2 linked regions of the Rattus norvegicus genome follow. The protein of the gene in region 2 binds, or shares a complex with, the protein of the main gene of each other region. Links are inferred from orthologs where the notes say so. Each region holds a gene or a part of one and is shown on either strand. Other genes may lie near its edges.

The links.
Region 1: the proteins of Zdhhc9 (region 2) and Golga7 are in contact, whole or in part, in a cryo-EM structure (PDB 8HF3), measured with the Homo sapiens proteins. The link is inferred for Rattus norvegicus from reciprocal best matches to the Homo sapiens genes ZDHHC9 and GOLGA7. Residues at the interface, in NP_001008223.1 of Homo sapiens: Phe78, Ala81, Arg85, Ile94, Pro95, Leu98, Asp100, Glu101, Phe104, Ile105, Phe129, Gln130, Ile131, Asn132, Ile146, Pro149, Pro150, Arg182, Tyr183, Leu186, Tyr274, Lys281, Cys284, Glu285, Leu287, Cys288, Gly289, Pro290, Leu291, Pro292; in NP_001002296.1 of Homo sapiens: Lys11, Phe13, Gln15, Tyr18, Ser19, Ser20, Gly21, Thr22, Ala57, Glu58, Leu60, Ser64, Tyr65, Gly68, Cys72, Ala75, Tyr76, Thr77, Phe79, Leu80, Tyr86, Glu87, Leu90, Ile116, Arg118, Gly119, Arg121, Val122.

Annotation. Positions count from the first base shown.
Region 1 is NC_086034.1:75,468,541-75,472,852, reverse strand, and holds the start of Golga7 (golgin subfamily A member 7), read right to left. Parts: upstream 2,945-4,312; 5' UTR 2,728-2,944; coding exon 2,617-2,727; intron 1-2,616. UniProt on the Homo sapiens protein: May be involved in protein transport from Golgi to cell surface. The ZDHHC9-GOLGA7 complex is a palmitoyltransferase specific for HRAS and NRAS.
Region 2 is NC_086039.1:132,234,666-132,238,478, reverse strand, and holds part of Zdhhc9 (palmitoyltransferase ZDHHC9), read left to right. Parts: intron 1-102; coding exon 103-205; intron 206-2,125; coding exon 2,126-2,229; intron 2,230-2,585; coding exon 2,586-2,682; intron 2,683-3,813. UniProt on the Homo sapiens protein: Palmitoyltransferase that catalyzes the addition of palmitate onto various protein substrates, such as ADRB2, GSDMD, HRAS, NRAS and CGAS. The ZDHHC9-GOLGA7 complex is a palmitoyltransferase specific for HRAS and NRAS.

The sequences.
Region 1 (4,312 bases), on a different chromosome or scaffold from region 2:
TCAGTGTTATCAAGTGACACAACTGGACTTAAGCTCCAAAGAACAAATTCAGGAGTTTTTAACATCTGCTATGTCTAAGCACAGTAAGACAGTCATCAGCTTTCCAAAGGTCTTTAGATAGAAGTCTTGTTGTTGAAATGCACACTGCTGAAGCCCACAGTGATCGCAAGTGCAACGCCAAGTCAAAGGTTACTTCTGCTGACCAGATAAGTAGAATGTGTGTCTACTGCCGTCCATTTGTAGTTTCTCTTCTCAGAAGACCACCAAGGGTGACTACAACACTTACATGTTGGCTAAAAGGACAACACAGGTTCACCTGAAGAACTACTGAGGCAGCTGGGCTCTCAGGCATCGAAGCATCACACTGTAACAGGCAGGGGAGTGACTGCTCAGCTGACAGAATTCGGGGCTCTCAAACAGCTCGCAAGGATTTTTAAGTATAATGTAACATGAGACACTTGTGCATTAGTTCCTTTCTCTAGCACACTGGCGAGTGTGATATTCCCTCAGAATGAAAGCCAGGCCTACCAGCAGGCCAGCACAATCACCAGTCTTTCTAGGTTAGCAGAGAAATAAAGAGGCCTTTCAACTTCATCACACAAAATCAAGGAAACTTAAATGTATAATCAACACACACACACATAAAGCTTTTCCAAGTGGTTTACAGCAAGTGTTTAACTCGACACTAAAATAGTCAAAGGCACATGCCACACAGTGGTCAGTACCACAAGCAATTCTGCGGTTTATCAAGTCAATGAAGTACCACTTTTGGATGGCAGAATTTAGCAACATCAATTTCCTGTAAAGGTCTGTGTGACTACATCTGGTTTTCTTAAGCTAAGATTATTAAGGAAAGGTTCTACCACACAGGATGAAAGGCTAATGCCTGATGTCGCATATATGTGTACTGGCTCAACAAAGAACTCTGACTTATAAACCATTAGAGGCCTTTAAATGACGAGTCACAAACAAGGCAACCAAAACCTGCTATCCTCTCCCTCCTCACTCTCCCTGAGGCAAGAGGGCATCGGATCCCATTACAGACGGTTGTGAGCTACCATGTGGTTGCTGGGACTTGAACTCAGGACCTCTGGGAGAGCAGCCAGTGCTCCTAACCCCTGAGTCATCTCTGCAGCCCCAGAGACAACGGTCTTGCTATGCAGTTCACACTGGCTTACAACTCAGAATCCTCCTCCCTCTGGCCCTCGGGTTCCAGATTACAAGTGTCCACAACCACACACTATTTACACAGTATCTTTTCAAAGCTTCTTGGATCTTTAATTGGCAGTTCGAGAAAGGCAACTGTGCCATTAACTTGCCTATGGCATAAATCAAACTTAAGGGCAAGGTAATGAATCAGTGATTTTTCAGCCCTAACAGTCAGTGCTGGGAATGGAAGCGGTGGACAAGTGGTCTACCACTGAAATAAGGTTCAGGATTCCCACCCTTCCCAAGCCACTTTAGAGCATGGCATTTTCAAGTTGCCTAGGTTGGCCTTGAACATTCAATCTTCCTGCCTTCGACTCCCTAGTAGCTGGGAGTAGTCCTGACTAAATATTTAATGCTGGGGATAGATCCCTGGGCCTTCAACCTGGAAAGAACAGGCTCTTTGCGTTAAGCTACACACCCAGCCTACGAACCACCAATCTGATTTTAAATGGCTGGTACACATTTCTCTGGTACACACTCATCTCCACCCACCTACTCCACAACCAGCATTTCTTAGCCCCACACCCACACCACGCTTAATTACCTCAAAGTTCCTCATCCTCCTGGCTCAGTTTCTAGAAACTGACTTATGAACAGCAAACAGAATCTGACTAATACGGCCAAAGAACAAAAGAATCACACGGGCTAGGCACAAGAACGCACAAGAACACACAAGAACACACAAGAACACACGCACACAGGTAGATTTCTGGTGTTGTTAAATCCGAAGGAATGGTAAACAAATCCCGTCTTTGTTTACAAGGTTGTCCAAAGGACCTGTGCCCGTGACCGTTTTGATATGCAAGGCAAACAGGAAGCTCTCACTGATTATGACTGAGTGCAGGGTTGGTTCAGCTACAACCTGTCCCAGCCAATGTACGTTTTTCAGGTTCCAAGAAGGCCTGTCTGGACTACCAAGCACGTCACTAATAAACCCTTTCAGCTGAACATCATGATCAGCACAGTGACCACAAATATCAGTCATGAGAACGATGACGCTGTCTTTTGAGGATATAGACTACCACAGGAGGTTATGAGGCAGCCCGGAGTTCCAGGAATTAGCACCTCATCAAGATGTCAATAACTGAGTATGTGTGTGCACCTCAATAAGGTGTCAATAACCGTGTCTGTATGTTTGAGTGTGTGTACGTTTATGTGTCGGTGTCCTGTTAAGGACACTCTTGGGTGGACTGAGGGGTAGCGTGCATCCCAAAGTTCTATAAGACCACTGCACTCTGAGCATTACTAGCCTTAGCAGTCTTTCTCTAAATACTAGACCGTAACTTCTTCGTAGACCTTCTGCTATGGATCTGAAGGCCTCCTGATCTCCAGAACTGTGGGACACTCCCTCCCGCTCCAGGGACTCTACACTCCCCAGGGGCGGGGGCAGGGATCCAGGCTGCGTACCCTGTTCTCCAGCTCCGCGGGGAACTTGGTCTGGAACTGGCAGCGGGTGCCACTGCTGTAGTCTCGCTGAATGAAGACCTTCCCGGACACCGGCGCCTGCTGCGGCCTCATGGCGAGGACAGGACCCGCCGCTCTGCGAGTTCGGGCAAGACACAGGTCAGATTGCCGGCCTAGAGCCGGCTCTCGGGCCCGCCTGCCCTTCGGAGCCACCCACCGCCCAAAGATGCCCAAGACCTCCCCCTCGCCGATCCCCTTCACTCATGGCTGTAGCTGAGAGCCTCCAGCTACCCAAGCCCAGGACCCGCGCCCCCCGACATCCTGGTTCGGCCCTGTTAACACAAACCCGCCTCCTCAGCCCTCCAGCAGCTGTCGCACCACGTTCGTCGTCACTTACGTCCTGTCGCAAAAAGCCTTGCCTCTCCTAAACTCATTCTGCGCCACTCATTTATACCCCGCCCCCTCCGGCCGTAAAGGATACCTCCGAGGCTGCGCGCTGCGGAGAGGTGCGCGGTAGCTGGGACAGAAGTCTTCCTAGTGTAGGCGGGTGAAGCCCTTCCGGGCGGAAGAAGAATAAGAGGTGGATATGGATATGATCGGTGTATCGGGAGTTCCTGGAAAGACTCCGGGGTTAGAGACTCGTATTCTGTTAGCTGTGGGGAAGTGGTTTCTGATCATAGGAGTGTTTCCTTTCTTGACTATGCGTTCAAGTTTTCCTGTGGGCTACAGCACCTCCCTCCACAAAAACAATCGCCACTCTCCAAATCCCTTAAACCCAGACTGTTCACCTATATTTACAACTACAAAGCGCGCTACCGGGGGTGCGTCTGGACCCTGGTACCCTCTTGTGCGGGAGGGAGGTGAATAATATTCTTGTTCTGAGCCGTTGGCTTTTTTCATCCCAGAGACGTATGTACATCAGCTATACCTGCGTAGGTGACCAGACTGTATCTACAGTTCTCTCATTGGTTCCCTACTTTACTGACCCTGTCTTTGCAAGACATCCAGAAAATCCCTATCCACGCCTGGTGGTGATGTTCTAATACAACTTTTTAATATCACGGATACTTGATCAATTATCACTGACAATTGATTTCTCGGGGTTTTAAAAATAGCATTTAAAAATCCCAGCATCGGGGTTGGGTAGAGGCTGGCCCACTCCCTGGTGATCTCTGAGTTCAAGGCCACCCCAGTTTACTTAAATAGTTCCAGGCCAGCCGGGTTGACATAGTGAGACCCTGTCTCAAAAGTGGATAACTTTGTCCCAGAAAAGGGTGTATCGTAAACCCAGTCACTTAATGTGGACACAGTTTGCTAACAGTTTGCCCTTAAACCATCAGTGCAATCAAGATAATTATCACTGCCTCTAAAACCTTCCTTATTCTTTACAGTCATCCTTTTTAGTCATTCAGCAGACCTCTTTGCCCAGCACTAACCTTTCTGTCACTGGAAATAAATTTGCATTTTCCTTAAATTGAATCAGAGTTTTTGGTCTCGTTCTTATTATATAGATTATTTTGAGATTCCTCTGTTGTGCCATTTGTAATTTCATTTGTTTGACATTCCCCATTTATTCATTCACTTACTGTCTCAGGGTTTCCATTGTTGTGAAGAGACACCTTGAGCAAGGCAGCTCTTATTAAGGACAATATTTAATTGGGGGTGTCTTAGAGGTTTTGAGGTTCAGTCCATTATCATC
Region 2 (3,813 bases):
TCCGAGAGGTAAAGAGGGTGTGACTGATCTCACGAATCTGAAATGAAACATCAGGTCCCATACCTACCATACGTTCTCCAACATTCCTTAACCTAACCTCACTGTTCTGGAAGTCCTCATTTGCTTCTTCACTCTCTGGTCTGTTGTGGGGCTGACTGGATTTCACACTTTCCTTGTGGCTCTCAACCAGACTACCAATGAAGACGTGAGTCAACCTTCTCTCCCTGCTCTGTATCCTTCTTTCCACCGCCAGTTTCCTTATTACCTGCTAGGAAAGCAAGCATGTGTCCAGGGCCTGGAAGGATGAGACAAATGGGGGAAAAAAGACGTGGATTTGGGAGGTGGTTAAATAAAAGGCAGACAGCCTTTTTTGGAGTGGAATGCCGTAAAACATTAGGAAGAGGTTGAAAAATTGGATAGACATGTCTTTTGACTAGGTATGGGTACTTAAAGACTAGTCAAGGGGTTGGGGATTTAGCTCAGTGGTAGAGCGCTTGCTAGCGCAAGGCCCTGGGTTCGGTCCCCAGCTCCGAAAAAAAGAAGAAGAAGAAGAAGAAAAAAAAAAGACTAGTCAAAGCCCTAGTGTGATTGAACACTCCTATTCGCTTGCTAGAGAGACTGAAACAGGAAGATGTCAAGGGGAAGGCTGTTCTGAGCTGTGTAGTGACAAAGAGACTTGCTTGACTGACATAGCTAGACCTAGTTTCAGAGCAGGCAATCAACAAGATCAAAAAGGGTAGTTGGTGCTTCTAAATTTGGAATGGAGAAGGATAAATGCATCAAATAAATATTTACTTTTAAGGAACTGCCAATTCATGTTCATTATGGATAATGAGAAAATAGAGTTGAAGAAATGAATAAATGCCTGTAACCTTACCTTCTACCTATTGCTTTTTTTTTTCTTTTTTCTTTTTTTTTTTTGGAGCTGGGGACCGAACCCAGGGCCTTGCGCTTGCTAGGCAAGCGCTCTACCACTGAGCTAAATCCCCAACCCCACTACCTATCGCTTTTGTTAATGACATGATTTATAGTCTTCTAAACTTGTGTAGGTTTGATCTCATTTGTTTCCATATACACTATAGTTTAAATTTCATTTTTATTTAACGATTTTTAGTACAATATATTTTGGCCATATTTTTCTCTTCCCTCAACTTATCCCAGATCTTCCCCACCTCCATATCCACCTGACTTCATAGTCTTTTTTTCTTAAAAGAAAGAAAAAAATCAAAAACCCCAAAATTCTAGACCAAAAGTAAAACAAAACAAAAGGCACACTCCCATAGCTCGCAAAACAAAACACAGAATCTGTTTGTGAGTCCAACCAACTCCTGGGCATGGGTGGGGCCTACCCTGGAGTGTGGTTCTTATATCCAAGGACACTCCACTGGGGAGGACGGACCTTTCCTTTCCCTGCAGGCATCAATTGTAAATAGCTTCTTGGTTCCTGGTAGAACTTAGAGTTCTATCCTTTCTCTGTGCTGGCATTTTGTGCAGGTCTTGTGGTGCTGTCACGGTCCCTGTGAGTTCATATGTACACTGTATTTTAAGATAAAAATAGAACATGTACATTTGTGGGTTTTTTACTCTTATATTTTCATGTTCAACTATTTCTTTTGCAAACTAGATTTATTAATCTGTGCACATGTGCACACACAACTGCACTGTGGAATATCAGAGGACACTTTGGTTCTCTCCTTTTATCCTGTGGGTCTTGATGACAACCTGTCAGGCTTGGTGGCAAATAAATGCCTTTTTTTTAAATCCACTGAACTCTCTCCCTGGCCCCTATTTTCTTTTCATTAATTTTGTTTAAAAATGTATACGCCATACAGCATCCATACCATCTCAACCATTTACAATTTTTTTCTTAATTTATTTTTGTGGGATTTTGAGACTACTCTGTGGACTAGGTTGCCCTAGCACCCAGAATCCCATCCTTGGCCTCCCAAGTTCTAGGCTTCCAGGGTGTGTGACACCTTTAACTGTTTTGAGTGTACAGGGCAGTGACATGTAGTGCATTCAGTTTATTGTGTAATTATTGCCTCTTGCACTTCTTCATTAGCCCATACTGCCCGTGTTTCTACAGCAGACTTTTTCAATGTAAGCCTTGGCTCGTATCTTGCAGATCAAAGGATCGTGGACAGGGAAGAACCGTGTGCAGAATCCGTACAGTCATGGAAACATTGTGAAGAACTGCTGTGAAGTGCTTTGTGGCCCCTTGCCCCCAAGGTACTCAAGTAACAGTAATGCCTTGGACGCTCAAACCCATCCCCTTGCCTGCTCTGCTGCATTCTTCTGCATGGAACTTCCTGATATCAACTAAGTCTTCCTAGGAGTTGTCACATGGCACCATATCTACATGAGCCATAAAACCATGGGCTGGCTGTATTGTTTGTTTGTTCCCTGATTAATGTGACATCCTCCAGTTTGTGGAAGAGTAAATGGAGGACAGATGTGTGCTGGGGTCAGGACACATTGCTGAAGGCATGTTTGTGCTTTCTGATGTACAGACCAAGGTTCAGGGGGGACTGAGCTGATAGACAAGTGCATGTCAAGTCTTTGATTCGTTCTTCTGTTTCTGTCAGTGTCCTGGATCGGAGGGGTATTTTGCCACTGGAGGAAAGTGGAAGTCGACCTCCAAGTACTCAAGAGACCAGCAGTAGCCTCTTGCCACAGAGCCCAGTAAGTGTCGCTGTGTAGGTGATAAGAGACCCTGTAGGCCCACTAGACAGCTTCAAAATATAACTGCGATTTTGTATCCTGATTTCTTCAGCTTCCCTGTCTCTGATTATGTCCTGATACCACTTTCAGATCAGTGTACCCTTGACACAGATGAAGATTTACTCATTCCTTAGACACGTATTGATCAGTTATTTGGTGCCAACTACTTTCATAGGTGCTAGGGCTACACCAGCTAGCAAACTGAATGAAGTCCTGCTGGGAGAGCATTTCCTGTTGGGTGGACATGAGGGAGAAGAAACCAGAGCATCACTGTGTGTGTGGCAAGTAGCTTGATTAGGGAAACCTAAAAGGGGCCAAGCTGTGGACAGAGGAGCATGTTAGGTCGGTTAGTGATATACTTACATTGGTATACTGTACATGTAAGCATTCTCCCAGGCACCTAGGGCAAGATATATTTCACAAAATATGTTCCTAAAAATTTGAAATTTCCTTCTAAGACCTTTATTGAGATACAACGTAAATACCATACGATGCCTGTTTAAAATATGCAGTTCCTTAGTAAATGCTTATATGATTGTCACAATTAAATAAAAAAAATTCCTTATCCTCTGTGTTAAGAAACCTTGTATAACTCCCTCCTCACCAAGATACCGTGTGTGTGTGTGTGTGTGTGTGTGTGTGTGTGTGTGTGTTATGGTATGGTATAGGGATGGATCCCAGGGCCTCATACATGCTAGGCAAGCACTCTACCAATGAGGTCCCCAGGCCCCCTGGCATAATACTTCAATGCTGATCTGTGTTATATGTGGCAGTACTTCATTCCTTTATATAGCAGACTCATATCCTCTCACACGGATACACCATGTTTTATCTGTCCATTCACCGTTTCCACATTTTGTTTTTTATTTCTAAAATTTTAGTTATCATTACTATGGTGTGTGTTTATGTGGCATGTATGTGTGAGCCTAGGCATGGGTATGCCACAGCGCACGTGTGGAAGTCAGGTGACAATTTTTTTTTCTTTTTTCCGGAGCTGGGGACCGAAGAACCCAGGGCCTTGTGCTTCCTAGGCAAGAGCTCTACCACTGAGCTAAATCCCCAACCCCAATAATTTTTAAAGAGTTTTCTCAC